Tamandua tetradactyla: one gene and its partner. The protein of the gene in region 1 purifies or fractionates together with the protein of each later gene. This does not show direct contact. Links are inferred from orthologs where the notes say so. Each region holds a gene or a part of one and is shown on either strand. Other genes may lie near its edges.

Region 1 (15,736 bases):
TGCTGTAGCTTAATATGCATGTATAATTCGGCACATATGGAAATGTATAGTACATGATAAAAAATACATATGCCAAATACAATTTTATGGTATTTCTAATTAAACTATTCATACTGTAATTACTCTCTCTATTTCACCCCTTGGGATGAGAGCAGGAGCCAGGCACTGAGCTCATGACAGTTAAATGCTTGAATGATGCACCACCTCTGTGCTGCATAACTTCTCTGCACCAGGTTCTATGCACAGGTATCCTCTCCTGCAGCCTCACAACCAGTCTTTTGGATTAGGGCTCAGCAAACGATCTGGAAAAGGCCAGATAGTACATATTTTTGACTTAGTGGAACATGACATCATAAGGCCATAAAATCTGTGGTGCAACTACTCACTCCACCATTGTAGAGTGAAAGCAGCCAAAGACAATATATAAGCAAATGGGCATGGTTGTGTTTCAATAAAACTTTATTTTAAAAAAAAAAAGAAGGCAACAAGGCCAGATGCGGCCCATGGATTATGGTCTGCCAACTCTGTCTTTAGATGGATATCACTCTTGGCATTGGCACAAGATGATGGAAAAATGGGAAACAGACCGAGTGACTGAGCTTCTTCCTCAGGGTCACAAAAAAAATGTGGCTTCTAAGCAGTAGAGCTTGGTGTGCTCCTATTTGCCATTGTCTCTCTCATCATCATCACTATCATCATCACCATGACCATCATTATCACATCATCATTTATCATCATCACCATCAGCATGCAAGACTCCAGGGTAAGTCCTTTACATGCATCGATTCATTTACTCTTGACAGCTGCCCACCATGAAATAGGAACTATTATTATCCCACTTGTCAGATAAGGAGACTGAGACCCAAAGAGTTAGGAAACTTGCCCAAAAGCACGGAACTAATGAGGGGGAGCTTTGGTTTGAATCTAGGCAGTCCAGTGCCAAAGCTAGTGCCACTCAGTCAGGTCATGGAAGATTAGTACAGGAACACCAGAATGTTCTGGGGAGGGAGTTTAAGGAACTATTTCTGTGACCCAGCTTTTGAATATTCTTTGGACTCCTGGAGCAATTAATAAAGGGATTGGAAGAAAATGATTCCCCAAGAGACAAAGAAGATTCCTCAACATATCCAGATGGCTTACAGAGATGATCATCTAGAATAGGGTGAGAGGCGTAAAATGCCAAATGCAGAGAGGCAGGCTTGGCTGGAGTCACCCACTCCTGTCCACTCAGGTAAAATGCTCGGTCTTGGCAGGAACAGTCAGACTTTGGAGAAGAATGGTGACTCAGTTGGAACCTTGCAGTAAGAGGGCCTGTGCAGGGACCAAGGAATTTTGAACAAAGAACTTCTTTCCCCCCAGTAGGGTGACAATGCTTCTATTAGGCTACTGAAAGAGGGGCAACTTATTTCTTCTGTGTTCCAACTGTGAAGGCTCACCTTGCTTTCATTTTATATACCTATGTAATTTCATTTCAATGACAAGCATCCCCTGGAGATGCCATTTTTTCTTATTTAACATGATTGGCAAAAATTTTGCAGTTTGATAATACACAGCTGGCAAGACCTGGCAAACAGCCCCTATTGAGCATTGCTGTGAGGAGTGCAAAATGGTGCAGCTCCTTTGGAGGGTATTTTGATCACATCCTTCAAAGTACAAATGCATTTTCCTCTGCGCTAACAATACCACTTCCAGGAATCTACTGTAAAGATACATGTCTACAAACAGGAAACAAATGTATGCAAAAGGCATTTATTGTATCACAATTTGTAACAGCAAATATTTAGAAACAGCCCAAAGTCCATCAGTAGGGGGCTGGCCAAATAAACATGGCACATCCACACAACGAAGTGGGATACCTTGAAGCTGGAAAAAAAAAAGATGGAGAACCTTCTTATATGCTGCTCCCTGTATGTCCTTATAATATGGCCATAGATTAAATGGGAGAAAAAAAAGTGAAGGGGTAGGAAATGTATGTAGTAGGCAAAGCTTTCTCTAAGGAGGAGGGAAAACAAGAATACATACTTGTATAGGTCTATTTTGCTTAAAAAACCCCTGGGAGAAAGATTTCTCAATGTGTACTTTTTATATCATTTTTATTTTTGAGCAATCATTTAGTTCTATTTCCTATTAAAAAAAAAAAACTAAACTGAACTTAAAAGATAAAATGTCCAAAAGGCTGACTCCAATTAAAAAAGAAAAAAAAATAGAATATACCATGAAATGCTACCACCTTTCTCATCTGAGGTCCAAGAGAGGGCGGTTTGTCAGAGGCAGATGGAGTAGCGTGAACCTCGGGACCCCAAAGCTTGACAGAAAGAGGACACGATATTTTCAGAAGACAAACTGCCTCCTTTTAAGAGATCAATCTGTAATGGGTGAAAGATAAGAATGAAATGATGACAGAATATGGTTTCTGGAAATTGAAACAAGGCTATTGTTGACCTGCTCATTTATTTGAGGGCAGAGTTTTTTATGAAATGGCTAGACACAATGAGAAAGGAAAAAGGACCAGAAAGTGAAACTGTGAGCTGTCTGGATGGGCTGTCTGGAAATGGTGGTTCTGCATGCAGGTGGATTCCACCCGTGCTTACAGAAGTACCCAGCACCATCAGGCTCTTCCCCAGGAGAGAGCTCTTGGAATTTCTAGCCATGGGGAATGAGAAGGAGCTCAGAGAACCCCTGTGGCTTGCCCAAGGTCACTGAGCAAGGACGAGGAAGAGCTTGGGTTAGAAACCAGTCAGTCTGGCTGGATGTCTCATACTCAGGATGCTCACGGCACCTGTGGCCTGCCACCTGTCTTCCAGCCCAGGCCTGGGGAGTGCCCCCAGCAGCACTGTCATTAGCCCAACCCCTTTCCAACCTTGATTCAGGCTTCTACCTGCAGGGTTTGCACTGGAGCAGTGTGCACTGGAGCCAGGCTGATACTGTGGCAAAAGAAGGCGGCAGGTGGAGTTGAGGGCAGCCTGGAGAGCAAATGGCCTGGTCCAAAGGGAGACCCACTGTTCTGCTCCTGCTGGAATGGAGGCCCAGTTTGATAGGATTTCGTTTTTCCAGAGAAGTTTCAAGTTCAGGTTTGTGAGAAACCTAACATTCTAATGTTGGCAAGTAATTTTTAAAAATTTGAAGCTCGATACAAGCCTGAAAAACAGGTCTCTGGTTTCCTTGTTACCTTAATGGGTAAAAATACAGAACCTGCCACACCTCCCTTTATTTCTCTTTTCCTTTTTAAGGAAACCCTGTCAACTAACTGAAATCTATTAGACAAAGAATGTGGCTGTTGGGAGGCTACATAAATGCCGGCTCTGAGACGCATCCTCTCCTTCACCTTCAAATTCTCCCCCTCCATGGGCCTCCAGCGTGGTTCTGGGCCTTTCAGTCACATTCCATCTTCCACAAGCCTGAAACAATATCCCTGTCACTTTTCCTTTGCATTTTCTGTGTAACGTGAATTCCCGGGACCCGTCTTACTGCCAAATTACCTGAGATAAACAAGTCATGCTAAGATCCTCTTTTCCTTTCCAAACCCAAACAGCAGCTGGCAGCTAGAAATGGTTATTTATAACCACACATTGTTTCATATATTTGCTTGGTTTAGAAGCACTTAGACATATTTTTTGGGCGGCTTCATAATCAGATGAGCGCCTGGGGACCATGTGGGCAGTGGCTACGAGGGTAGGCTCTGGGTCAGCCTGTCTGGCTCCACTTGTCACCTGTTTGGGAATCTTAATCGTCCCCATTCCATTTAAGTTTATTGTCAGGGTTAAGACGGTACATGTAAAACACTTCTCGGTGCCCAGCACATACAGGTACTTGGCAGTTATTAGTTTCTTTACCCAGAAACTGTTATTCATGGATTCCAGCAAGTTCTGTTGAATTCTGCCTCCCAGATATACCCTGCATCCATGGGCGCCTTGGCACCATCCCTCTCCAAGCCTTCCTGATCTCTCATTGAACTTCAATATCCACCAGGTAGGTGTCCCTGTCTCCACTAGGGCCTGGCTTTTCCCACGGTGGCCATCTCTAAATACGGCCATATCTCATGCCTTCTTGACCCTCCAAAATTTCCCTCTGTGTGAAGAGAAGAATCCAAAATCCTTTCCCTGGCTGACCCCATGTGGGCTCCCGGACCTCACTCTTTTCTTTCTTCCCCTCCCTCACACTCACACCCTCAGAGCTGCACTGGCCTATCTTCTGCTTCTTGGATGTACAATTCCTTCCTGCCTCAGGGCCTTTGCCCTCACTGATCCCTTCTTGGAGGACTCTTACCTTCAGTCTCCTACAGGCTGGCTCCTTCTGACACATGGGCTCTCAACTGGAAGAGCCCTACTTCCTCAGAGGGGACCCGCCCCCATTTCTTCCTCCTTGGATCCTCTGCCCAGAGCTTATCTGAGCTTTCCCTTATGATTTGTGTGTTTGTGGTCTGTCTCCCCAGCTGAATCTCTGCTTTTCCACCACTGAACTCTCCACATCTGGAACAGTGGCTGGAAAGGAGTAGGGACCCGTCGACATGAACAGAATCGATGAATGAGTAAATGACCACATTTCTGAATGGACAATGTAGGAAGGGACAGGCGGTGTAATTATGAACTGCAGTAAAGACTTCATCTTCACTTGTAATGTGCCTTCCCGGCCCTTTCCCCTCACTATTTCTGGGATGGTGAAATGAAATATGACAAAGTAAGTTTAATACCCCAATGGAGATAATTGGAAAATATTGATTTTTTTCCCCATTTGGACTGTAAAGATAAGAAAATGCCACACTTATGTAATCTAATCAGTAGCTTATGTGACAGCACATTTCCCAGGCTGAAATGGACTTTGTTCTACCTCTCTATCCATCATATGAAGCTCCAAAATCCATTCCCACTTCACACCCTGATCTAATCCCATCCTCCCCATTGAATACAAGTATGGACAATCAATTTGTGAAACTATGTGTGTCTATGTGTATGTATCCAAATTAAAGAACTTTTGGAGTATCTACTCCCCCACCCCCAACCCCCCCCAAATCTGCCAAATTGCGCTGGGGAACACAGGAAATGGTGCATGAGATCCCCCAGAACCATAAGGAAAAATGCATCCCTTTCTCTGACAGCTAACTTTTACTAGAGCTTACCAAGTGCCATGTATCATTCTAAGAATTTTGAGTGGATGCATTAATTTGATCCTCATAGCAGTTCTACAGGAAGGTCCTATTATTATCTCCATTTTATAATTTAGGAGTCAAGGGCGGTACAACAGTGGCTTAGTGGCAGAATTCTCATCTGCCATGCCGGAGACCTGGGTTTGATTCCTGAAGGCTGCCCAAGCCAAAAAATAAAAAAGAAGTTTGAGTACTGAGAAATAAAATGTAATACCCCCAAGGTTACATGGCTGGTAGGAGGGGGAGCCAGAGTTCCAACCTCCTTAGTCTGATGCAATAAGCTCTGCTCTTCTGCAACTCTCCAGAATAAGAAGGCTTGGGATCCTGAGCAACAACACGAAAAGAGGGAAAGAAGAAGAGTTTAACCCTTTGCTCTGGTTTTCATGGTTTCCTTCTGCAGGCTTAAATGAAATCTCCATCACAAAGCAGAAGCTTCCACCCTGTGGGCTCTTTAGGAGGAAGGTTTTGCTGGTCTCACAACAGACCTGGGCCTTGTTCTCCTTACTCATGGGAGAATTAAGTGTCAGCGGGCACTTAATTCCCCTGTGCCTAAGCCTCAGAATCCGATAGATGACGGCGATCAGACCAGATCCAAAGTCTAGCTCACTGGCTGAAGCCAGCCTGCAGATGTTTGTCTGATCCCCCTAAGGTTTAAACAGAATGTTTTTTTCAGCCAACCTTTACAGCTTGGGTGAGCTGACATTTAAAAATCCTGATTTCTGGTTTCTTTTGAAAAACGAAAAGACCTGGCAACACAGGGCCTGTGTTCCTGCCTGGGTGCTGAGGGGCAGCGCCCTGATGGATGGCCCAGCATCTGCCAGTTCCCCACCTCTACCTCTCCCACTCTCTCCCAGCCATTGAGGCTAAGTCCCAGATGCCATTTATCGTCTTGCCTGAACAGTTTTCTTTACAGTAAAGATGAAAGTGAAAGTTCACATCTCCCGGCAAAAGTGAGATCATCATCACTGGAATCACCAGAGCACTAACGATTATACATGCAATTAGTGTGCGCCAGGTCCTGACGGAAGGATGGTGCCTCGAATCACTCATTTAATTCACCCAACAACCCTAGGAGGCCACACAATTATTATCCCATTTTATACATGGTGGAGAGAGGGAAGAGGCTGCATGCTTCAAGAAATTAGTAGACAACAGATTTCTTTATGAAAATGAAGACTATTCCGGGGTGTCAAATGAGCAAAATCTATTTGGGTGCTGAAAGAACCTAACATAAAGCAGCATAATTAAATAAACCCTGCCCACTGTCTCATTTACATTACCTGCCTGGCCCCTGCACTGGATCCTCAACATCTTCAGATATCCCAAGGTTCTACAAATGCGACCCTGGACTAGACTGGTTAAGTGCCCTCCTCCCCCAAGCTCTAACATCCTGTGATTTTAGGTGGGTTCATAAAATGCATCTCTAATAGTTTAAGACTCTGGAAAGGAAACACAACACATACCTGAAAACACAAACCTGCACAGGCAAGCACATATAATGTAGCACAAGTTTGCTTAGAGTTCTGAAGTGTGTGGTCCCTGTGGGGGTTCTGTAGCTGCTGAGCTGACATGCATGGCACCTTCCCTCCCTGCCGGCTGCCTCACCACATGGGCCTTTATGACCCACAAAGGACACGTGAAGACAGGGGCTGTCTCCAGAGAATCCATCAGCTATGGGAGGTCAAGGTAGCAGCAGGCTCCAAAGTGAGGTGGGAGGTGGGAGTAAAAGTGACTTCATTGGGAAAGGAAATGGAGGGAGGATGGGAAAAGTAGGTGGAGTGTGGTGGTATGGAGCTGTAAGTACTATAGAAAAATATGTTCTGAAAATTAAACCATTCCTGTGGATGTGAATTCATTATAAGTAGGACATTTTGATGAAGTTACTTCAATTAAGGTGTGGCCCACCTCAATCAGGATAGGTCCTAAGTCTATTACTGGAATCTTTAAAAGAGGGATGAAATTCAGACAAAACGAGAAAGCCACAGAGGGAACTTTCAATTTCAAAAGCTGAACATCAGTAGAACCTGGAAGAGAAGATGCTGCCATGTGCCTTGCCATGTGACAAGCTAAGAAACAAGGATCACCAGCAGCCAGTCCCAGAATTCAGGAACTCCTGAATTCTGTATTCTCCTGTATTCAGGGAGAAAATATCACTTTGATGATGCCATGATTTGGTCTCTGTCCTAGGCTCAAAACAAAGAGCAAATGAATTCCCGTAGTTTATGCTAGCCATTTTATAGTATTTGCTCGAGCAGCCTAGGAGACTAAAGAGGAAGAAAAGAATGAAAACAGAGGCTAAGGGGTATAGTAAAAAGTGACTAGGATTGGAAATATTACTCCAAGTGGGCTTAATCTAAAGGACACTGTCTGGAGGGACCATACCCCTCCACTAAACCAGCAAAGGCCTCTGAGAACTGGGCCTGGAGGTTTGGCTTTGGATACAAGGGCCTTTACTCTGTCTGCCAGCAATGCACCGAGGGAAAAGTTGGTTAATCTCTTTCCTGGTTACACTCCTGGGCCTTTTTCTGTGCTAGTCTTGGTGCCAAGTGTTGAACACACAAAGGAACAAGAGTAGGTTTCTGCTCTCAAAGAAGGAAAAGGCATGGAGCCCAATGACTCTGATGCAATGCTGCATAAAAAGCTGTGGGATCCCACCAGGCAGGAGGAGCTCATTCTGCAGGTGGTGCCAGCTGCTGTGATCTACAGCAGGAGGTGTCATGAGAGAATGGTGAAGTTGGCAAGGAGCACGGTCAGGGCCAAGGCTGTGCCTAAGAGATGGCTAGCGTTATGAGGTAACTTGGGCAGGCATTGAAATCTCAAGTGCCTCCAGGGCTAGGCCAGTGGTATCAACGCAAGAAGTGGGCACCTGGTGACTGGTACCACCAACCAAACTGTCAGCATGTATCCAGGGTCAAGGGAGTGGGCACTAGCAGGGCCAAAGCATCCTGTTCTTCAAGAAAAACTGAGCAGTCCAGGTTTTATGTTAAATCTCTATTTTTAAATATAAGAAAACTCTCCTATGGCCCCAGTTCAGTCCAGTATAAAACCTCTGGGCATGACTGTGGGTTGGTGACCGTGTAAAGATGAGGCTGGAGATCAGCAGAACAGCCAAGTGGGGGATGCGAAGGGGAAATGCTTCTCCAGGGGAATTCTCCAATTAAAGATGATATGTCTATAGGGCAACTGTGAAGGCCACAAGGTCAGGCTGTTCAAAAATCCCATGGGCACCAGTAGGCAGGCCAATGCGATTAAGAACAACTGGCAATTGCTTCATCTTATTTAAAGTGCTCTGCAAACAGCTTTGAGATTTTCTTTCCTGCCACATCGCTGCTCCTGAGCCCTTTCCTACTTGGAGACAGAGGAGCAGCCACAGGGTCAAACCCCAAGGGAGTTGAGAAGGCAGTAGAGGGCAGGGCCTTTAAAACAGCATTTGCCGGTTTGAAAGGATGTATGTACCATAGAAAAGCCATGTTTTAATCTTAATTCCATTTAGTGAAGGCAGTTGTTTCTTCTAATTCCTATTCAGTACTGTGTGTTTGAAACTTTAATTAGATTATCTTCCTGGAGATGTGACTCAATCAAGAGTGGTTCTTAAATTGGATTAGGTGGAGACATGTCTCCACCCATTCTAGGTGGATCTTGATTACTTTACTGGAATCCTATAAAAGGGAGATTCTAAGAGAGCAGAGAATGACATAGCCATGAGAAGCAGAGTCCACCAGCCAGTGACCTTTGGAGATGAAGAAGGAAAACACTTCCCAGGGAGCTTCATGAAACAGGAAGCCAGGAGAGAAAACTAGCAGATGACCCCATGTTTGCCACATGGCTTTCCAGATGAAAATAGTCAAAACTTGACTGTGTTTGCTATGTGCCTTCTCACTTGAGAGAGAAACCCTGAACTTCATCAGCCTTCTTGAACCAAGGTATCTTTTCCTGGACAATTTAGATTGGATATTACTATAGACTTGTTTTAATTGGAACATTTTCTAGGTCTTAGAACTATAAACTTGCAACTTATTAAATTCCATTTTTTAAAAAGCCATTCAGTTTCTGCTATATTGCATTCTGGCAGCTAGCAAACTAGAACAGATTTTGGTACTGAGAGCGGGGTGCTGCTGTGGTTTGCAAATACCAAACATGTTGGAATGGCTTTTTAAATGGATGGGGGGAGGATTCTGGAAGAGTTATAAAGAGCTTGATAAAGAAGACCTAGAATGCTTTGAAGAGACTGTTTGTAGAAATGTGGACTCTTTAGAGTCTTCTGATAAAGTCTTAGACAGAAATAAGGCACATATTATTATAGACTGGGAGGAAAGCAATCCTTGTTTTAAAATGGCAGATAATCTGGCAAACTTGACTAGTGGCTTTGGCTGGAAGGCAGATTTTAAAAACCATGAACTTGGATATTTAGCCAAAGAGATCTCCAAATAAAATGTGGAAAGTGCAACTTGGTTCCTCCTCACAGCTTACAGTGACATGCAACAAGAGAGAGAGAAGCTGAGAACTGAACTCTTGAGTACAAAGAAACCAGAAATTGATGTTCTGGAAAATTCTGGGCTTCTAGAAAGGGAGACCCCAGAGAATAGTGCCCCATGTGAGGGGTTGGCCAAATGTGAAACCAGTCAGCCATTTCAGAGAGAGCCAGGATTGGACATGGAGTTATCCAGGAAGGGTTTGTGGAAACTCCTTATGTCTGACGGGCATGATCCAAGGCTACTGCATAGAAAGCCAATGAGAGCGTTGTGGGATCTGTATAAAGAGAACCACTGCTAGTCGGGACTGAGAATGACAGAGAAGGGACACACTGGAGGAAAAATAACTTCAGAGGCAAAGCCAAGGAGGCTGGGGTCTGAAATCAGGAAGCCTTGGGCCAGGAGAGTGGATGCACCCAAGTAGGTGGAGAGGGTGAGTTTACCCCAAAGGCAGAGGGTGGGCCTTCCACCTGGTTGCAGTGGGATGCCTCAGGCCTTGGAGAGGGTGAAGCATGTTCCTTGGGGTTTGGGGAGAGCCTGGCTGCCACTAAAGGGAGGGGTTGAACATGTGTCCTGGAGATGGCAGAGAGCCCAGGTGTAGACCCCGATCCTTGGAGAAGGTGGAGCTGGGAAAAAGGTGGTCTCCTCAATGTCCCCCAAAGTTGCATTCAGAGAGAGGCAGGCCTCTGCGAAGGCCTTTGGAAAGGGTGGGACTGTTGCTTTCTAAAACCTTGAAGATAAATGACTCTCAGACTTTGAAATCTAATGGACTTTGCCCTGCAGGTTTTCGAAAAATATATGGGTCCAGTGACCCCTGTGTTCCTTCCAATTCCTCCCTATGGAAATGGGTATAGGTATCCTATGACTGTTCCTCCTTTGTATGTTGGCAGCAAATAACTTGTCTTGAATCAAGGTCCAGAGCCAGAGGAGAATTTCTCTTTAAGACAGACTATGCCTGTAACTAACTTTGATAGGAGTTTGCACTGTTTCTAACTTTGTATTTCATTTGTATTGCTACTGAAATGGTTTAAGGATTTCTGATATTATGATGGAATTAATGTATTTTGTATATGGGGAAAACATGTCTTTTTTTTTAGGGTCCAGAGGGTATAATGTGCCAGTTGAAAGGAGGTATGTACCCTAGAAAAGCCATGTTTTAATCCTAATCCCATTTTAGTAAAGGCAGCCATTTCTTCTAATCCCTATTCAGTACTGTGTGTTTGAAACTTTAATTAGATCATCTTCCTGGAGATGTGACTCAATCAAGAGTGGTTCTTAAGCTGGATTAGGTGGAAACGTGTCTCCACCCATTCTAGGTGGATCTTGATCAATTTACTAGAATCCTATAAAAGGGAGCTTCTAAGAGAGCAGAGAATGACATAGCCATGAGAAGCAGAGTCCACCAACCAGTGACCTTTGGAGATGAAGAAGGAAAATGCCTCCCAGGGAGCTTCATGAAACAGGAAGCCAGGAGAGAAAGGTAGCAGATGATGCCCTGTTTGCCACCTGCCTTTCCAGATGAAAACAGTCTAAACCTGACTGTGTTTGCCATGTGCCTTCTCACTTGAGAGAGAAACCCTGAACTTCATCAGCCTTCTTGAACCAAGGTATCTTTCCCTGGACACCTTAGATTGGATATTTCTATAGACTTGTTTTAATTGGGACATTTTCTTGGCCTTAGAACTGTTAACTTGCAACTTATTAAATTCCCCTTTTTTAAAAGCCATTCAGTTTCTGCTATATTGCATTCTGGCAGCTAGCAAACTAGAACACAGTGTTTATTTCTTAGCCAACATAGTGGGCAGGCTTTGCCCCAGACCCTTTCCCCAGATGTGAGAACCTGGTCAAATACTGGCAGGGGGATGGTGAAACAAGCTTTTGATGACATTCTATGGATGCTTCATCCTGTTGACTCCTGGCTTTGCTACCTACTCACTGTGAGCCATAAAATGGGCACAATTATATAATTGTTGTATTGGGCCACCTCGAGAATGAAATGAGATTCACCATGGCAGGGGATCAGCAAACCGTTCCTGAAAAGGGCCAGCTGGTCAATCGTTTTTGACTCGGCAGGCCATATGGTCTCAGTTGCTGTAGCATGAAAGCAGTCATTATGACACAGATACAAATGGGCAAGGCTGGGTTCTAGTAAAACTTTATTTACAAAAGCTGGCAGTGGGCCAGAGTGCTTCAGGAAAAGTGAAGAAGTGTACAAATGTTATTTTCTAGAGACTTCTGTGTTGGATTTTATATCTATTTATATGACTAGCTCTCCTACCAGACTATGAACACTGTAAGGACGAATAACATATCTCCTTTTCAGATGTAAGCTAAAAGAACAAGTTTGGCATGGTCTAATGCACAATCGAGTTCATAGGGATTTTCACAACTGTCCAAGTTTAATAACAGAGCAGGGTTGTAACTTCAAACACCTATCGGGCTGAGGCAGGCAAGATGCCTACTGAGGGAACCTGGCCAGGTAGGGGCTAGGCCAATTGGAAAGCACACCTCCCTTCTAAGGGAGCAGTTACCATGCAGCTCCAGCCTCAAGGGAATTGTTGCCATGCAGAATTCTGATATGGCATTGACAGACTTTTCTTACTATTATCAAGAGAACCATAATCAGATATATTTGAGAAATCTCCCAAATTTTCCACTTTGGCAATTAACTCCAGAAATTGAAAAAGAATACATTATGGGTCAAATAAGCATGCTTGTGGGTAGCATTCAGCCTGGATGCTACCAATTTGCTACCTCTGATACAAAGAATTCATTTCAAAATCAACTACCTCTCTATTAACTAAGATCTAGAAAATTTTAACTTATATTTGGGGAAAAAATTAGCCCTACAGAAAAGATTAAAGAATATTACAAGGAGCTTCCATATATATTCTTCACCTGAATGTAGTCTTATTCATCCTGTTATCTCCAGATCCCAGCACACAGAAGCCACTGAAATATTGTCAAATCAATAAATGAACACCATAAGGAAAAATAAGCGAAGCAAAGATTGTCAAGTTCCTATAATCTAAAGTGACAGGTGGAATGAATGCGGAAGAAATAGAGAGAAGAAGAGTGACCTGGACAGAAGGATGTGTGCCAAAAAGAAAGGATAACAGAACAAACGCAGAGCCCATATGGCACAAACATTTATTTTGCCTGCTGAATGCTTGCTTTGTTTCATTTTATTTTATTGTTATTATTATTTTTTTTGCTTGGTACATTTTAAGCAGTGAGAGAAACAGACAAATCACCAGAAGCCCAGGTAAACACCACACAAGGACAGAAGGGACAAGACAAGCTGACAGTGTACTTTCAGCAAAACCTCACTAATTCAACCATCATCCGTTTTGCAGTTTGGGATTATTTGGACAAGTGAGGCTAAATTTCATCTTGGTGTTATTAATTCTTTGAGAAAGTTTGCTAAGCAAATGAACAGTATAAACAGGGGAAATGTTGAATGTTTGCTCTGGAGGGGGAGCAGAAGCAAATGAACAGCTTTGAAATCCTTTCTAATTACACCGCTCTGTTGAACTTTTGTCTAATTATTATGTTCCTAGAAAACTGAGTAGAAAAATTTTTTTCCTCTAAACCACCTCATATTTTGAAAGCACTAGGGGAAATCTGACTTTAACACAAAGACAACGTTTTTATAGACAGAAGATTCATAGTTTGCCAATTTATCTTAGTGTAAATAAAAAGTGTCAAACATTCAGTTTTCTTTGAAACAAAGACTAAACTAATTGCGAAGGCTATTATTAGTTAGAGAGCGCAACATATCCTCCCTCCCTCTTCTGCTGGTAGTGTAGAATTTTGCCCAGTTGCAGATAATGATAGCATATAGGAGTTACCATGTAACAGCGTATTTTATATGCCGCAATTGATGTTATGTGTTTCCATATCTTGACTCACCAAATGCATAAACCAGGGTAGAGTTCATCATCATCCCCATTTTGCTGACAGAAAAACTGTGGCTCAGAGAGTTCAAAATACACAGCTGAGATTCAAACCCCAGGCTATATGATCCAGCAAACCTATGAGCATTATGCCGTGCTGCACTGTAGAATCAGATAGGACCTGCTCAAAACCAAAGGGCCAGGGAAAATGCTGTGAAAAGCTATGGTGATTTGAACATGCAGAATAAACCAAACCACAATATGGTTTGGAGATACTTGCTAGATATTTAGGCTTTTGTGAGTTTAGGGAGTAAATATCTTTCTAATAAGGCTGAATTTGGTTTATCTGATTGTCTAGAATCATAATTCATCAAGGTATCCTTCACTTTACCCAGTGGATATGTGCCTAAAAACTTGTGTGTAAATCAAACTTTTAAAACTTGGGATGGAAAATGGGATTCTTTGAACGTTAAATCCAAACTTAGGGCAAATACTTTCTTAAAGAAAATCCATTATTCCTTTTGGTAACTAAGTCTGCCATTGGGCCATAGTAATGTTCTTTGGATTGATGGGATATTAATAGTTGGAAGTGAAAGCAGACTTTTTGAAAAATGGCTCATAGTAACATTTCTCAAAGTCTATTCCATGAATCCTGGGGGAGGTCCCTAAGATCTTATCAGATGATCTGTGAGGGTTAAATTATTTCACAACAATTTTAAGATGTTATTTGCCTTTATTACCGTGTTGATATTTACACTGATGACACAAAAGCAATGGCAGGTAAAACATGAATGAATCAAGGCAGTGACACTATTAGATATAAGTATATTCTTTACCGCCACATGCTTGCAGGAAAGCAAACAAAAAATTGCTTTTTCTTAATGTCCCTGTGAAGCAGCAAAAATTAATTTCATTAAATCTCTATCCATGAGTACACAGCTTTTTAATATTCTGTGTGATGAAATGTGAAGCATGCACAAAGCACTTCTGCTATAAATCAAAGTATGATGGTTGCCACTAGAAAAAAACTCGTTTGAGTTTTTAAGTATACACACTTTTTAAGTATACACATTCTATTGTGTAATGAAATGAGTTAAGATTTAGAAGATCTGCATAACTCAGCAAATCACCATTTTCCAAATGGCCAATGCCAAATGTTACAAAACCATACACATGTAAAAGCTCCAATCAAAGGGCAAGAGAGACCAATAGATTTTAAAGTAACAGAATATAAAAGTTCATTGATATGGTTTCAGATGCCACATTGTGGTATTCAGGTGTCATTAAGAAATTATCACTCGCTAAATTTTGATGTGGTATCAAAGAAGAATATCTCTAGTTATCTAAAAAGGCAATTCAAATATTCCTCCCTGTCCCAACTACATATTTGTATAAGGTCGTATTTTTTTTATATACCTTAGACAAAATAATATAACACAACAGTTTGGATGCAGAGGCAGATATAGGGACCTAGCTGTCTTCTCTTAAACCAACAGTGCTACTTTTCTCACTAAATTATTTTCTTGTTTTGGAAAATACAGATATTTTTCACTTAAATATTATTTCTGATTGTATGTGATGGGTTTATTATCATGATTTTTAAATGAATTGATAAATGAAAGTGTTAAGATTTTCTCAGTTTAAATTTCTAATGTAATAAATATAATAGATAAAACCCACACAAGCAGAGTTCTTTTGAGGTAAGAACATAAACGAGTCCAAAGTCCAAAAAGGTTTAAGAATTTTTGCTCTGCAGCAACATTATACTGGCAAACTGGTAAATGACATTTTATAGCACCTTAGAAGCACAAAGGGCAAAGATGTTTTTTAAGCATATGACAGACTGTCAAATGTTTTTTCCATACTGCAATAACTGGTTATCCCAGAGGAACAATTCTCCAGAGGTGGGAAACAGTTTTATAAACAGAAAAACCATTTGTATTTTAGCAATGGCACTTCAAGTCTTTCTAGGCTTTAGTCTTCCCATCTGTAAAATGAGATATGGAGTAGCCTAATTGTTTCTAATGGCCCAGGTTATGATTCTAAATCAGGGATACCCACAGGCTGCAACTGGCCTTCAGATTGATTGGCCTTCATGGTATTTTGAGAAGTGACTCACAAAGACAATTGGTTTGAGCTGAGTGAACAATTTGCCTTTCAGATGGGAAATTATTTTCAGTTAATCACAGCCCTCGACCCAGCGCACTAGACTCGCCTTTGCAGAG
Region 2 (16,067 bases), on another chromosome or scaffold:
TAGACACCAGCAAAAAATAACAAATCACACTAAGGAAATTGAAGATATGGCCCAATCAAAGGAACAAACCAACAATTCAAATGACATACAGGAGCTGAAACAACTAATTCAGAATATACAAACAGACATGGAAAACCTCATCAAAAACCAAATCAATGAACTGAGGGAGGATATAAAAAAGGCAAGGAAGGAACAAAAAGAAGAAACTGAAAGTCTGAAAAAACAAATCACAGAACTTATGGGAATGAAAGACACAGTAGAAGAGATGAAAAAAACAATGGAAACCTACAATGGTAGATTTCGAGAGGCAGAACATAGGATTAATGAACCGGAGGACAGAACATCTGAAATCCAACAAGAAACAGAAACTATAGGAAAAAAAATGGAAAAATATGAGCAGGGACTCAGGGAATTGAAAGACAATATGAACCGCATGAATATACGTGTTGTGGGTGTCCCAGAAGGAGAAGAGAATGGAAAAGGAGGAGAAAAACTAATGGAGGAAATTATCACTGAAAATTTCCCAACTCTTATGAAAGACTTAAAATTACAGATCCAAGAAGTGCAGCGTACCCCAAAGAGAACAGATCCAAATAGACATACTCCAAGACATTTAATAATCAGAATGTCCAAGGTCAAAGAGAAAGAGAGGATCTTGAAAGCAGCAAGAGAAAAGCAATCCATCACATACAAGGGAAGCCCAATAAGACTATGTGCAGATCTCTCAGCAGAAACCATGGAGGCGAGAAGACAGTGGGATAATATATTTAAATTATTAAAAGAGAAAAACTGCCAACCAAGAATTCTATATCCAGCAAAATTGTCCTTCAAAAATGAGGGAGAAATTAAAACATTTTCAGACAAAAAATCACTGAGAGAATTTGTGACCAAGAGACCAGCTCTGCAAGAAATACTAAAGGGAACACTGGAGACAGATACGAAGACAGAAGAGAGAGGTGTGGAGAAGAGTGTAGAAAGGAAGACTATGAGTAAAGGTAAAAGGAAGGAAAATTAGATATGACATATAAAATCCAGAAGGCAAAATAGTAGAAGAAAGTACTACCCATACAGTAATAACACTGAATGTTAATGGATTAAACTCTCCAATCAAAAGACATAGTCTGGCAGAATGGTTTAAAAAACAGGACCCAAGTATATGCTGTCTCTACTCAAAGGTCATGAGGCCAAGGACACAAATGGACATTTACATGTTTATAGCAGCATTATTAACAATTACCAAGTGATGGAAACAGCCAAAATGTCCATCAACAGACAGCTGACTAAACAAACTGTGACATTTACATAAGATGCAATATTATGCAGCTGTAAGACAGAATAAAGTTATGAAGTATGTAACAACATGAATGGACCTTAAGGACATTATGCTGAGTGTGATTAGCCAGAAACAAAAGGACAAATACTGTATGGTCTCATTGACATGAACTGATGTTAGTGAATAAACTTAGAATATTTCCTTGGTAACAGAGACCATCAGGAGATAGAAATAGGGTGAGATATTGGGTGATTGGAGCTGAAGGGATACAGATTGTGCAACAGGACTGAATATAAAATCTCAGATATGGACAGCACAATACTACCAAACAGTAATGTAATTATGTTAAAACACTGAATGAACCTGCATGTGAGAATGATAGAGGGAGGAGGACTGGGGACATAAATGAAATCAGAAAGAAAGATAGATGGTAAAGATTGAGATGGTATAATCTAGGAATGCCTAGAGTGTATAATAATAGTGAAATGTACAATGTACAAATTTAAGAAATGTTTTTGCCTGAGGAAGAACACAGGAATGTCATTATTGCAGGGTGTTGAAAATAGATGATAATTAATACTTTAAAATGTCACCTTATATGTGAGACTAAAGCAAAAAATGTTTATTTGTTACAAAATTTATATTTTGACTAGAGCATTTCCTAATATAACTCATGTAGATAGTTTGATTGAATGTCATAAGTACTTGGAATCTCAGGTAGCACATGAGATTTTGTTGGTTTGTCCAGAGTGATGCCCCAATGAATCCCAGAGTGATTTGATCAGTGACTGGAAAAGTATTTGCAAGCCCCCTTCGGGGAATGGTGAGAGTGGGGAGAAATTCAACTTCCCCAAGTTGAATTCTTGATATTCTCACAAGCAGTGTGGACAACCAAAGTTATAGGCTGAGCCTACAGGCTTGGGGTTTGTTCACATGAAACTTAACCCCACAAAGGATAGGTCAAGTCTACTTAAAATTTAGGCCTAAGAGTCACCCCCAAGAGAGCCTCTTTTGTTGCTCAGATGTGGCCTCTCTCTCCAGCCAACACGAGGAGCAGTCTCACCACCCTTTCCCTCTCTGTGTGGGACATGACTCCCAGGGGTGTGGACCTTCCTGGCAACATGCGACAGAGATCCTGGAATGAGCTGAGACTCAGCATCAAGGGACTGAGAAAAACCCTAGAATGAGCTGAGAATTAACATCAGGGGATTGAGAGAACCTTCTCGACCAAAGGGGGAAGAGTGAAATGAGACTAAGTGTCAATGGCTGAGAGATTCCAAACAGAGTTGAGAGGTTATCCTGGAGGTTATTCTTATGCATTAAGTAGATATCACCTTGTTGTTCGAGATGTAGTGGAGAGGCTGGAGGGAACGGCCTGAAAATGTAGAGCTGCGTTCCAGTAGCCATGTTTCTTGATGATGATTGAACAATGATATAGCTTTTACAATGAGACTCTGTGAATGTGAAAACCTTATGTCTGATGCTCCTTTTATCTACTATATCAACAGAAGAGTAGAACATATGGAATAAAAATAAATAATAGGGGGAACAAATGTTAAAATAAATTTAGTTTGAAATGCTAGTGGTAAATGAAAGTGAGGGGTAAGGGGTATGGTATGTATAATCTTTTTTTCTCTGTTATCATTTTATTTCTTTTTCTAAATTGATGCAAATGTTCTAAGAAATGATGAATATGCAACTATGTGATGATATTAAGAATTACCGATTGTATATGTAGAATGGAATGATCTCTTAATGTTTTGTTTGTTAATTTTTTTAATTAATAAAAAAAGTTAAAAAAACAAACAAACAAAAAAAAACCTAGATCGAAGTAAGAAGGGGTTGCAAGGGAGGAAAAAGATAAAAGAAAGATGTGCCAAGTGTTATTGCAGGCTTCACCTCCAACAATTTGGTCTTGTCCCATGAAATGCTAAGGAATGGGTATCTAAGGTGAACTCATCCAGGGGCAGTGTCTTCAAAGCAGAAATTGGGAGGTGAAGGATGGGCCTATAGACTATGTGGGAAAAATCAACCTTTCCTTCAAACCCCTTTTGTTACTTTGGGAAGAAGGTAGATTACAGATTCCCCAAAGTCTTTTGTGAACTATGAGCTAACCCAAGTTTGATATTGACTCTAATTCTTCTACTCTGCCAGCTAGCAGGACCTCCCACTGCCTAGAGTGATTCAAGGGCCTCTCTAGGGATCCTTGGAATTCAGGGGCATCTTAAGAAATCCTAGATCAAACCAATTCTTCCCAAATCTCATGAAGCACAAGAATTCTACATAATAGAGATAACCTTGCCCTGTAGGAAAAATCCATCAGGTTTATTCTAATTAGATTAGAGTTACCTAATAGATCTTTCTGTAATGATGGAAATGTTCTACACTTTTTGGTACAATAGCTGCTAACCACATATGGCTAGTGAGCAATTAGAATGTGGCTGATGCAACTTAGGAACTGAATTTTTAATTAAATTAAATTAAATTTAAATTTAAATAGACACATAGTTATCGGCTATCGTCAGTACAGTTCTAGACCTTCCAGGAAAAGGGGTTGCAAACTATGGTCCAGGGGCAAATTTACCCTGCCATTTGTTTTATTTTTGGTTTTTCTTCCTGCCATTTGTTTTTGTATAGCCTATAAGCTAAGAATGATTTTTTCTAACTTTTAAATGGTTAAAAAATTCTGGAAAAAAAATCAAAAGAAGAATAATATTTTGTGACATGTGAAAATTATATGAAATTAGAATTTCGGTGTCTATAAATGATGTTTTATTGGCGTGCAGCCCATGCTTATTCATTTACATATTGTCTGTGACTGCTTCTGTGCTAAAACAGTAGAGTTGAGCTGTTACAAAAGAGACTATATGGCCTGCAAAAACTAAAATATTTACTCTCTTATCCCTTACAGAAAGTTTTCTAACCCATGGTCGAGAGCCTGATAAGAAAGAAAGAGAGCCATATCAGTCAACCACATTTTGAAGTTATATTTCAATACAATTCAACTACATTATTTCACTGGAGCCTTTAAACAGTCCTGTGAGATAGATGGGACAAAGTGAGGAAACTAAGATAAGGAGAAGTTGCATAACGTTCCCAAGGTCTCACTGCTGGCTGATAACAGACAAACTTCCACCTCTACTGTCTGTCCATGAGCTCACTTTGCCTCCAAGTTGAGTGACCAATTCATTTATTCATGTTCAGAATATAATTTAGTCCTTTGTAGTTGTAGGCCCTTTTGCTAGGCACTAGAGATATACTGATGAGAGCTGGAATCTTTACAGGAGGGCAGAAATGAACTAATTTTCCATGCTAAGTACAAAAAAGGAAAGGTCTAGAACACTATAAGAGGCAGAGTTCAAAACTACTTAATCTAGTCTGGGACATTAGGGAAAGCTCCTCCAAGAAAGTGACAATTCAATGGAGACATAAAGGATGAGTAAAACTTGGCCAGGTAGGAAGCATGGAGGTCAGAACAACACATTAAGGATCTGGGAGGGAAGGTATTTGGTGCGTATAAGAAGCTACAAAGCCAGTGTGGTTGGTACAAAGTAAGCAAGGGGGACAATGAAAGGAAGGAGATAAGGCTGAAGAAAATAGGCAAGGACCAAGTGATACAGCAATTTGTATATCATGTTATAGTTTTGGGACTTGATCCTAAAACTGAAAGAAAGACATTGGATACCGTCTTAGTTTGGGATCTCCAAAAAAGCAGAGCCTGAGGCATGGACTTGGGTGCAGGCAATTTATTTGGGAGGTGATTCCTGGAAGCCAAGGCAAAGAACAGTGAAAATGGAAATGGATAGGTAGGAAAACCAATGAAGGATTTCATTGGAAGCTAGGAAACTGAGCACCTTTTAAGGAGCCGTATAGAATGCACCTTGGTTGAGAGTTTCCCATGTACACTTGTGGTGGGATGCTGGCAGCAGGCATAGAACTGTACCACACAGCTGCACTGAAATCAGGTGAGACAAGGAGGTATGATGGGGCACGAGGGACATAAAGAACATTTGGCACAAATGGTTTCAGACAATCATATGAGTGTGTTTAAAACAATCTCTTCAGACTAAAATGAATAGGGGCAAGAATGGAAACCAGGAATCCTACAGAGAAAATTAATGTAGTGGTTGAGGTGGTGAATGATAATGGGTTGAATGGGAGGTAGCAGTAGGGATACAGAGAAGTAGGTAGATCAGAAAAATGTTTAGTGATTAGAATCTATAGGACTAGACGACTGCAGGTAGGGCGCAAGGGGAAGAGAAGTTAGGTTCTGGAGGAGGGACAGTAGTGCCACTTATTGAGATAGGGAATACTGAAGGTAAAACAGGTCTGGAGCAAGAGAGGAGAATATTTTGAATAGGAGTTTAGTTTGGGGTATGATGAGTTGGAAGAGTCCACAGGCCATCCAAATGGAGATGTTAAAAAGGCAACTGAATATAAATGCATGTGGCAGGCAGATTCTAAGATGGCCTCAGAGATCCCACCTGGTAGTCATAGCCTTGTATAATTCCTTTTCCTTCAATGACTTGTTTCAAGCCAAAAACTATAGCAATGTTGCAAGGATGTTACTTCTGTGATCAGTTTACAGAAGACTGTGACTTTCTTCTCCTTAGAAGAGTCTTTCACTGCCTTCTTGGATCACTTGTCTTGATGATGCAAGGAGCCAAGTTTGAGCTCTCTTTGGAGAGGCCCACATGGGGAGGAACGGAATGCTGCGCATAACCATGTGAGTGAGCATGGAAACAGATCCCTCTTCAGTCCAGCCCTCAGATGAGACCCAGCCCTGGCAGACACCTTGGTTGCCTCCTAGTGAGAGATCCTGAAGCAAAGAACCTAGCTTAGCCATGCCCAGACTCCTGACCCACAAAAGACATGAGATAATAAACATGTTGTTTTAAGCCACTAATTTTCAGCTTACACTGTTACACAGCAATGATTACTAAGACAATAGGTATGGACCTGGATTGCAAAGGCCAAGTGGGGCAAGGGGAACCTGTCAGCAGTCACCACGCCACCGTGTATGCACGACCCAGGGTAAGCCACTCAAGTTCTCAGAGCCTCAGTTTACTCTCCCGTAAATTGAGGTCATTGCCCAGCCCTTTATAACTTCACAAGATGAAAAATCACTTTGAAAAAGTATACAGTGCTAGGAGGGCAATGGTGCCTCAGTGGCAGAGTTCGTGACTGCCACGCCGGAGACCCAGGTTCAATTCCTGGTGCCTGTCTGTGCAAAAAAATAAAAAAAACAGTATACAGTGCTATATGCAAAGTAGCCAACCTAAAGCAGGAATGTTTTTAAGACCTCTAACATCATCCTTCCAGTCAACAATCATCTAACTTACAGAAATCAGCATCTAAGTGTCTTCTGCCTCCCAACCATTCTACTTAAGAAATTTTTCAAAGACAGGAAATAGAAAGAGTAGAGTTAAAATTATGCTGACATTGTGTAGTTCAGGATCAGTTTATGAGCACAATGGATAAAACTTACTTTTTAATAGCAATCAGTTCCCCAGACTCAATGCTCCTTCCCAGCAGGACAGAACCATAGGTTCCATCCCCAAGCTGCTTGATTGTTGTGTATCTATTCATGGTGTGCCCGCTCAGGCAGGACACTCATCTCAGGGCCGAGGCGGTTCAGTCCTGCAGTGGTAGCAGGCCTCCCCAGAGTGTAACCAGATTTTTCGATGGCAGCACCAGCACAAGGTATTCAGTACAACGTGACGATCTCCCAAATACATATTTTCAAAGATCAGTCTTCTGCCTGTAGAGAAAAATGACAAAAATAAATGTTAATGAACATTTTGAGTTGTGGGTTACATGTATTTTTATAGTCTAAATCATGGGTGAACAAACTACTACCATGGGCCAAACCCAGCCCACTGCCTGTTTTTATAAAGTCTTATTGGAACACAGTCATGCCACACATTTGCATATTGTCTATAGCTGCTTTCACCCTACAACAACAAACTTGAGTAGGTGGGATAAAGACTGGATGGCTCACAAAGCCTAAATTATTTATCTGGTCCCTACAGAAAAAGTTTAAAAATCCCTGGTCTAAATAATGCTCTTTTGTATTTTTTTATAAAATTAAAGATACCATGGTTGGAATGTGCATTTGTCACACACAGAAATGAATCAGCTCCAATTCAATACTTTTCTGCTGACTAATCCTCATAACTATGCTCAAAGAAAATTGCTGAGCTCAGAGAATTCATGCTAAATATAGTTTATTCTGTGCAATTTAGCAACAATTAGCTATGTAAACCATCAAAAGCTAAGGAAAGCTAAAATTAAAGATCCTCTAATAAAGAACTAATATGTGCCCCATAAACTATTTGTGGCAAGGCATCAACATTATTTTTACTACTGGACATCAGAAGCTAAGCAATGAGCTAGCAATTCAACTTCCATGTGTAAGGTGTGACTTTTGAACTCAGTTGTTTTTGGTTTTGTTTTTAGTAATAAGTCACTGATGTTTCATATATAAATTAAGAGAATTGTTCAGCTTGCCTATTAAAAAGACAAGGTAGAAATAACTTTTTAAAGTGACTGTAATATCTGGAGGCAAACGTTAATAAAATGCAAATACTTAAGAATAAGGACTTGTTTTTAAAAATTATTACTGTCTAATAATTCCAAGAATGAAAAAATCAGAAATAATGCTTGAAGCATGTGACATTCTGCATCTAAATCTACTCTGTACAGCTTTTCTGTGCAGAAGAATTCCAGTCAATAAACATAGAAACAGAAAAATAAAAATTCCTATTAGGCAAATGCTACAGCAGTAACTGCTATAACAAGTTGCTTGATGGATACTACAATTAGTGGGTAAAAGTTTGAGGAGATATTTGCATAGTCGCAAATTATCTCCAGGATATTTATTAACTTCAAAGGGAAAGAAGATAAATTTACAGGGGAGAAATCCAGCAGAAGTCACCTTAGCCAGGTGACCACTTTCAGTATTCCCAGTAATAATACATATCAATATCATGACTTCCTGAAGGGATGTACAGAAGGGCCCAGCATCACTTTTCTGGCATTCTTTCAAAAAATGTAGAATTTCAATCAAATCATGAGAAAACATCAGAGAAACCCAAAATGAGAGATACTCTACAAAAATTGACCAGAACTCTTCAAAATTGTCAAGGTCATGAAAGACAAGGACAGACCAAGGAATTCTCAAACTGGAGAAGACTAAGGAGACATAACAACTAAATATAATGTAGGATCCTGGAACTGAAAAGGGGCATTAGTAGGAAAATTGGTGAAATTTGAAGATGGTCTAGACTTTAGTTAATAGTATTATACCAATGTTAATTTCCTAGTTTTGATCATTGTTCTATGGTTATGTAAGATGTTACCATTTGGGTTATGTAAGATGTTACCATTGGGTGAAAAGTTTCTAGAATTCTGTTACTATGTTTGCAACTTATCTGAAGTCTAAAATTAGTTCAGAATAAAAAGCAAAAAAAAAATTTTTTTTAACCCATTTATGTTCTTGAGAAGGCTTTACATGAACTTGAACCTTGAGAAAAATGAAAACTTAACACCTGATTTCACCACATTCTACCATGTAACTAGAAGAGCTTTTAGAGATTGCTCAGCTTTTAGGGATCACTCTCCTCCTCCATCTCAGGCCCCGGGGTGGGGGGCGTTTTCCTTCCTCTTAAAGCATTTCAGGGTAAGAGTCCCTGCAACTTCCTTCAGCAACTCTTTACAGTGACAGAGTCAATTGTTGATTCAAAAATATTATAAGTAGCCCCTGGACACCAGACCCTAGGCTCAGATCTAGGGGTACACAGACTAATAAAATGTAGACCCTATTTTCAAAGAACCTAAAGATATGGACTCATGAATATGTGATAAGATATTTCAGGTATGTTTAGGGTACAGAATGTAGGGAGAGGTTAAGAAGAAAGCTCTCTGGCTTCCTCTTAGATCGATTCCACCTGGGCTCAGGAGGGCACTAAGAAGAGTGTGAAAAGAGGTGACCCCAGCTGAATTGAAAGGAAAAAAAATGATGTGTGTCAGGTAAATAAGGGTCTAGGACTCCAAACAGCAGAAACAAAGGCACTGCAGCTTGAATTTGAGCATTAAACGTGGGGAGTTTGGAACTGGAAAAAGGTAGTCCTAGAGTTTTGTTTGTGTCATTCTTTAAAAGCATAGACTTTGACTGGATCCTAAAGATTCATAAAGAGAAAGAGAGTGAATAAGCACAATCAAACGGGCTAAAATATTAACAAGTGAAGCCAAATAAAGAGTATATATGTATACTTTGTTGTCTGAGATCAAAGGAAGAGATGTTTATTTGGTACAAAATTTACATTTTTGGTAGCATACGATCTAATTTAATTTGTATGATTAGTTTATTTGAATATCATAATTACATGGAATCTTGAATAGGAGTGAGATCTTGTTGGTTTGCACAGGTTAGTGTGATGCCCTATACACCCCAGAGTAATTTTGGCAGACAATAAAAAATATTTGTAAAATTCCCTTTAGGGATTCGGGAAAAAGGAGGAAATATTAAACTTCCTCACCTGGGGCTCAATCTTGGGGCTCAGCCTATGAAACATTCCTGCAAAGAAGAAGAAAAGCCTACTTATAATTATGTCTAAGAGTCACCCCCAAAGAACCTCTTTTGTTGCTCAGATATGGCCTCTCTCTCCAAGCCAACCTGGCAGGTGAACTCACTACCCTCTCCCACTATGTGGGCCATAACTCCCAGGGGTATAAATCTCCCTGGCAACATGTGACCTGACTCTTGGGATGAGCCAGGACTTGGCATCATGGGATTGAGAAAGTCTTCTTGACCAAAAGGGGAGAGAGAGAAATAAGACCAAATAAAGCTTCAGTAGCTGAGAAATTTCAGAGTTGAGAAGTTATCCTGGAGGTTATTTCCTTATACATTATATAGGTATCCCTTTTAGGTTTTCAGTGTAATAGAATAGCTAAAAGGAAATACCTGAAACTGTTGAACTGTATTCCAGTAGCCTTGATTCCTGAAGACAACTGTATAAGCATATAGCTTTTACAGTGTGACCATGTAATTCTGAAAACCTTGTGTCTGACACTCCCTTTATCCAGGGTATGGACAGGTGAGCCAAAATAAATAAATAAATAATGGGTGATGGAATAAGGGGTTAAAAAAAATTGGGTAGATTGCAATAATAGTGGTCAGTGAGAAGGAGAGGTAAGGGGTATAGGATGTATGGGGTTTTCTTTTTTCTTTTTATTCCTTTTTCTGGAGTGATGCAAATGTTCTAAAAATAATCATGGTGATGAATACACAACTACGTGATGCTATTGTGAGCCACTGATTGTATACTTTGGATGGACTGTATGGTGCATGAAGATATCTCAATGAAAATATTTTAAAAATTAAAAAAAAAGAAAAGAAAAATAAAAGAGTATATAGGCATACTCTGAACTAGTCTTTTAACTTTCCTATTAGTTCGAAATTATTTCCAAATGAAATTTTGAAAATTCCCCTCAAAATGTTGAAGGATTCATTTCCCGGTGCCTGCTCATGCAAAAAAAAAGGATCTAACATATTAAAGGAAGGGAGTCATTTTAAAAAAAAAGATAGGTATATTTTTAAATCCTCTTTTTGGCTTAAAACATAGCAATGCAGATTTATTTACTAGAACACCTTCATACAATAGGATGCCCCCACTTTATGATGATTGTATTGTGGATTGCTGTCACTTTAGGCTATGACTCAACATAGCACAAAAACAGCATTCTGGCCACAGCATGAGCAGCTCTGGATTTGTTTTCCTCTCTTTTTCTTCTTCATATTTATCTGGTTTTGATATGGCATAAATGATTCATGCGGCATGTATAATTTCATTCTCCAACAAATTGCAACTCTCAAACCACCGTTCATGTCACCTTCCTGAAAAATCACTGGAACCTTGACTTATCAATTACATACTCATAAATTACATCCTTTATTTTAAAAAAAAGGAAAAGAAAGAGGTGGGGAGGGGGAAGAGAAGGAGGTGGTGATGAAAGAGGAAAAGAAGGCTTTGACGGACAGGCAATAAAATTAAAGTTTTTTAAATATGGGAAATAACATGATCAGATTTCCATTTTGTAATCCAGGTTTACAATATTTTTCTTCAAGTACAACCAAAGCTTGACTATTTTGATTTAAGCTAATTTCTTTGTGCTTAATTCTTAGTGGATGTAAAGAAACCATCTCATAAAAATATGTATGTATGTGAAAGTAGTAATCAAGTGTGTGGTTCAGCCTTCTCCTATCTCAATTACACAACGTTTCCTCATAGGACCTATTTTCCACTCCTTTAATTATCTTTGGCATTCATCCTTGGCATTTCTCCATCTCCTTGATGAATTGTGGTGATTAAAACTTGAATATGGAATTCATGTGACAGTCCTTTAATATATTCCAGTAGCATGTTGTCCCTTAATTTTTTAAAAAATGGTATTGCACTACTGATTCATATCCATCAATTATTAATTCTAAAGTCTTTCTTTGATAGTTTATGCCTAACTACTTCCTCACCCACTGAATTGTATAGCTGGGACAATGCTTTCCTAGATTATTACTGAGAAAGCTATTGTGAAAGAATTAAAAGTTTCATTGAAATCAAGATTAATTGGGTCATTCATTCAACACACAATCACTCTAACAATTCTTCCTTGATGCAGTTTGTCATATTACCACAGAACAAAATTCAATTATTCTGGCAGGGTTTGACTTTCCACCATACCAAATAGTTGCTTCTAGTATCTTATGTTATTCTGAGTAATCACTTAACAATTATACAAAGGATCAGCCAAATGTCTCTTCAAGCAATGATGGCAGGTTGACCAGTGTGTAATTTCATTCAACCTTTACTGAGGTGAGCATTATGCAAGGCTTTAGGGGTACACTATGCTTAAAGTAAGGGTCCCAGAGTGATTTGAAGAGTGAATAAAGAAGTATTTGTAAAGTCCACTTGGGGGAATGGGAAGAAAGGGGGAAAAATTTAACTTACCCATTTGGAGAATTCCTGATATTCTAGTAGGCAGTGGGGACAACCAAATCCCTAGGCAGAGCCCTCAATCTTGAGGTTTGCCCCTATGAAACTTATCCCTGCAAAGAATAGGCTAAGCCTACTTAAAATTAGGCCTAAGAGTCACTCACAGAGAACCTCTTTTGTTGCTCAGATGTGGCCTCTCTCTCTCTCTAAGCTGACATGGCAAGTGAACTCATTGCCCTCCTCCCTCTACATGGGATATGACTCCCAGGCGTGTAAACCTCCCTGGCAATGCTGGACAGAAATTCTGGGATGAGCTGGGACTCAACATCAAGGGATTGAGAAAACCTTCTCAACCAAAAGGGGGAGGAGAGAAATGAGACAAAATAAAGTGTCAGTGGCTGACAGATTTCAAACAGAGTTGAGAGGTATTCCTGGAGGTTATTCTTATATATTATACAGATATCCCCTTTTTAGTTTATGGTGCATTAGAGTGGCTAGAGGTGAGTACCTGAAACTGTAGAGCTGTGTTCCAGTAGCCATATTTCTTGAAGATGAATGTATAATGTTACAGCTTTTACAGTGTGATGTATGATTGTGAAAACCTCGTGTTTGATGCTCCTTTTATCTACAATATGGACAGATGGGTAAAAAAATATGGATAAAAATAAACAAATAAAAGGGAGAACAAATGTTAAATTGAGTAGATTGAAATACTAGTGGCCAATGAGAGGGAGGAGTAAGGGGTGTGGTATATATGAGTTTTTTCTTTTTTCTTTTTTATTCGTTTTGCTGAAGAGATATAAATGTTCAAAAAAAAATGATCTGCAGACGATATGATACTATACATCGAAAACCCAGAAAAATCCACAACAAAACTACTAGAGCTAATAAATGAGTACAGCAAAGTGGCAGGTTACAAGATTAACATTCAAAAATCTGTAGTGTTTCTATACACTAGCAATGAACAAGCTGAGGGGGAATCAAGAAACGAATTCCATTCACAATTGCAACTAAAAGAATAAAATACTTAGGAATAAATTTAACAAAAGAGACAAAAGACCTATACAAAGAAAACTACAAAAAACTGTTAAAAGAAATCACAGAAGACCTAAATAGATGGAAGGGCATACCGTGTTCATGGATTGGAAGACTAAATATAGTTAAGATGTCAATCCTACCTAAATTGATTTACAGATTCAATGCAATACCAATCAAAATCCCAACAACTTATTTTTCAGAAATAGAAAAACCAATAAGTAAATTTATCTGGAAGGGCAGGGTGCCCCGAATTGCTAAAAGTATCTTGAGGAAAAAAAACGAAGCTGGAGGTCTCACGCTGCCAGACTTTAAGGCATATTATGAAGCCACAGTGGTCAAAACAGCATGGTACTGGCATAAAGATAGATATATTGACCAATGGAATCGAATAGAGTGCTCAGATATAGACCCTCTCATCTATGGACATTTGATCTGTGATAAAGCAGTCAAGCCAACTCACCTGGGACAGAACAGTCTCTTCAATAAATGGTGCCTAGAGAACTGGATATCCATATGCAAAAGAATGAAAGAGGACCTGTATCTCACACCCTATACAAAAGTTAACTCAAAATGGATCAAAGATCTAAACATTAGGTCTAAGACCATAAAACAGTTAGAGGAAAATGTAGGGAGATATCTTATGAATCTTACAATTGGAGGCGGTTTTATGGACCTTAAACCTAAAGCAAGAGCACTGAAGAAAGAAAGAAATAAATGGGAGCTCCTCAAAATTAAACACTTTCGTGCATCAAAGAACTTCATCAAGAAAGTAGAAAGACAGCCTACACAATGGGAGACAATATTTGGAAATGACATATCAGATAAAGGTCTAGTATCCAGAATTTATAAAGAGATTGTTCAACTCAACAACAAAAAGACAGCCAACCCAATTACAAAATGGGAAAAAGACTTGAACAGACACCTCTCAGAAGAGGAAATACAAATGGCCAAAAGGCACATGAAGAGATGCTCAATGTCCCTGGCCATTAGAGAAATGCAAATCAAAACCACAATGAGATATCATCTCACACCCACCAGAATGGCCATTATCAACAAAACAAAAAATGACAAGTGCTGGAGAGGATGCGGAGAAAGAGGCACACTTATCCACTGCTGGTGGGAATGTCAAATGGTGCAACCACTGTGAAAGGCAGTTTGGCGGTTCCTCAAAAAACTGAATATAGAATTGCCATACGACCCAGCAATACCATTGCTAGGTATCTACTCAAAGGACTTAAGGGCAAAGACACAAACGGACATTTGCACACCAGTGTTTATAGCAGCATTATTTACAATTGCAAAGAGATGGAAACAGCCAAAATGTCCATCAACAGACGAGTGGCTAAACAAACTGTGGTATATACATACGATGGAATACTATGCAGCTTTAAGACAGGATAAACTTATGAAGCATGTAATAACATGGATGGACCTAGAGAACATTATGCTGAGTGAGACTAGCCAAAAACTAAAGGACAAATACTGTATGGTCCCACTGATGTGAACCGACATTAGAGAATAAACTTGGAATATGTCATTGGTAACAGAGACCATCAGGAGTTAGAAATAGGGTAAGATAATGGGTAATTGGAGCTGAAGGGATATAGACTGTGCAACAGGACTGAATACAAAAACTCAGAAGACAGCACAATAATACCTAATTGTAATGTAATTATGTTAAAACACTGAATGAAGCTGCATCTGAGCTATAGTTTTTTTTTGTTTGTTTTGTTTTTTTACATATTTTTTGTATTTTTTATTTTTATTTTTTTCTCTATATTATCATTTTATTTCTTTTTCTGTTGTCTTGCTATTTCTTTTTCTAAACCGATGAAAATGTACTAAGAAATGATGATCATGCATCTATGTGATGATATTAAGAATCACTGATTGCATATGTAGAATGGAATGATTTCCAAATGTTGTGTTAGTTAATTTTTTTAATAAATAAAAATCATTTCCTAAAATTAAAATTAAAAACTCATTAATTTACGTATATATATATATGGAGAGAGCTACTGGCATGGTCACATAGGGAAATAAGAAACTGACTTTAAAATTCATTTTGACTTCATATCCTTTGTGTGACATATCCCAAGGTTTGTTAATATGAAACCTAACCCCACAAAGGATAGGTCAAGTCTACTTAAAATTTAGGCCTAAGAGTCACCCCCAAGAGAGCCTCTTTTGTTGCTCAGATGTGGCCTCTCTCTCCAGCCAACACGAGGAGCAGTCTCACCACCCTTTCCCTCTCTGCGTGGGACATGACTCCCAGGGGTGTGGACCTTCCTGGCAACATGCGACAGAGATCCTGGAATGAGCTGAGACTCAGCATCAAGGGACTGAGAAAAACCCTAGAATGAGCTGAGAATTAATATCAAGGGATTGAGAGAACCTTCTCGACCAAAAGGGGGAAGAGTGAAATGAGACAATGTGTCAATGGCTGAGAGATTCCAAACAGAGTGGAGAGGTTATCCTGGAGGTTATTCTTACGCATTAAGTAGATATCATCTTGTTGTTCAAGATGTAATGGAGAGGCTGGAGGGAACTGCCTGAAAATGTAGAGCTGTGTTCCAGTAGCCATGTTTCTTGATGATGATTGAACAATGATATAGCTTTCACAGAGAGACTGTGTGATTGTGAAAACCTTATGTCTGATGCTCCTTTTATCTACTATATCAACAGAAGAGTAGAACATATGGAATAAAAATAAAAAAATAAGGGGAACAAATGTTAAAATAAATTTAGTTTGAAATGCTAGTGGT

The links.
Region 2: the proteins of KATNIP (region 1) and CILK1 purify together in Homo sapiens (affinity purification with mass spectrometry; 3 studies listed by BioGRID and IntAct, with this or other methods). This does not show direct contact. The link is inferred for Tamandua tetradactyla from reciprocal best matches to the Homo sapiens genes KATNIP and CILK1.

What each region holds. Positions count from the first base shown.
Region 1 is NC_135349.1:25,961,396-25,977,131, forward strand, and holds the start of KATNIP (katanin-interacting protein), read right to left. Parts: upstream 6,796-15,736; 5' UTR 6,715-6,795; coding exon 6,607-6,714; intron 2,367-6,606; exon of another isoform or gene 2,240-2,366; coding exon of another isoform or gene 2,215-2,239; intron 303-2,214; exon of another isoform or gene 218-302; coding exon of another isoform or gene 205-217; intron 1-204. UniProt on the Homo sapiens protein: May influence the stability of microtubules (MT), possibly through interaction with the MT-severing katanin complex.
Region 2 is NC_135331.1:111,601,659-111,617,725, forward strand, and holds the start of CILK1 (serine/threonine-protein kinase ICK), read right to left. Parts: upstream 6,868-16,067; 5' UTR 6,863-6,867; coding exon 6,762-6,862; intron 1-6,761.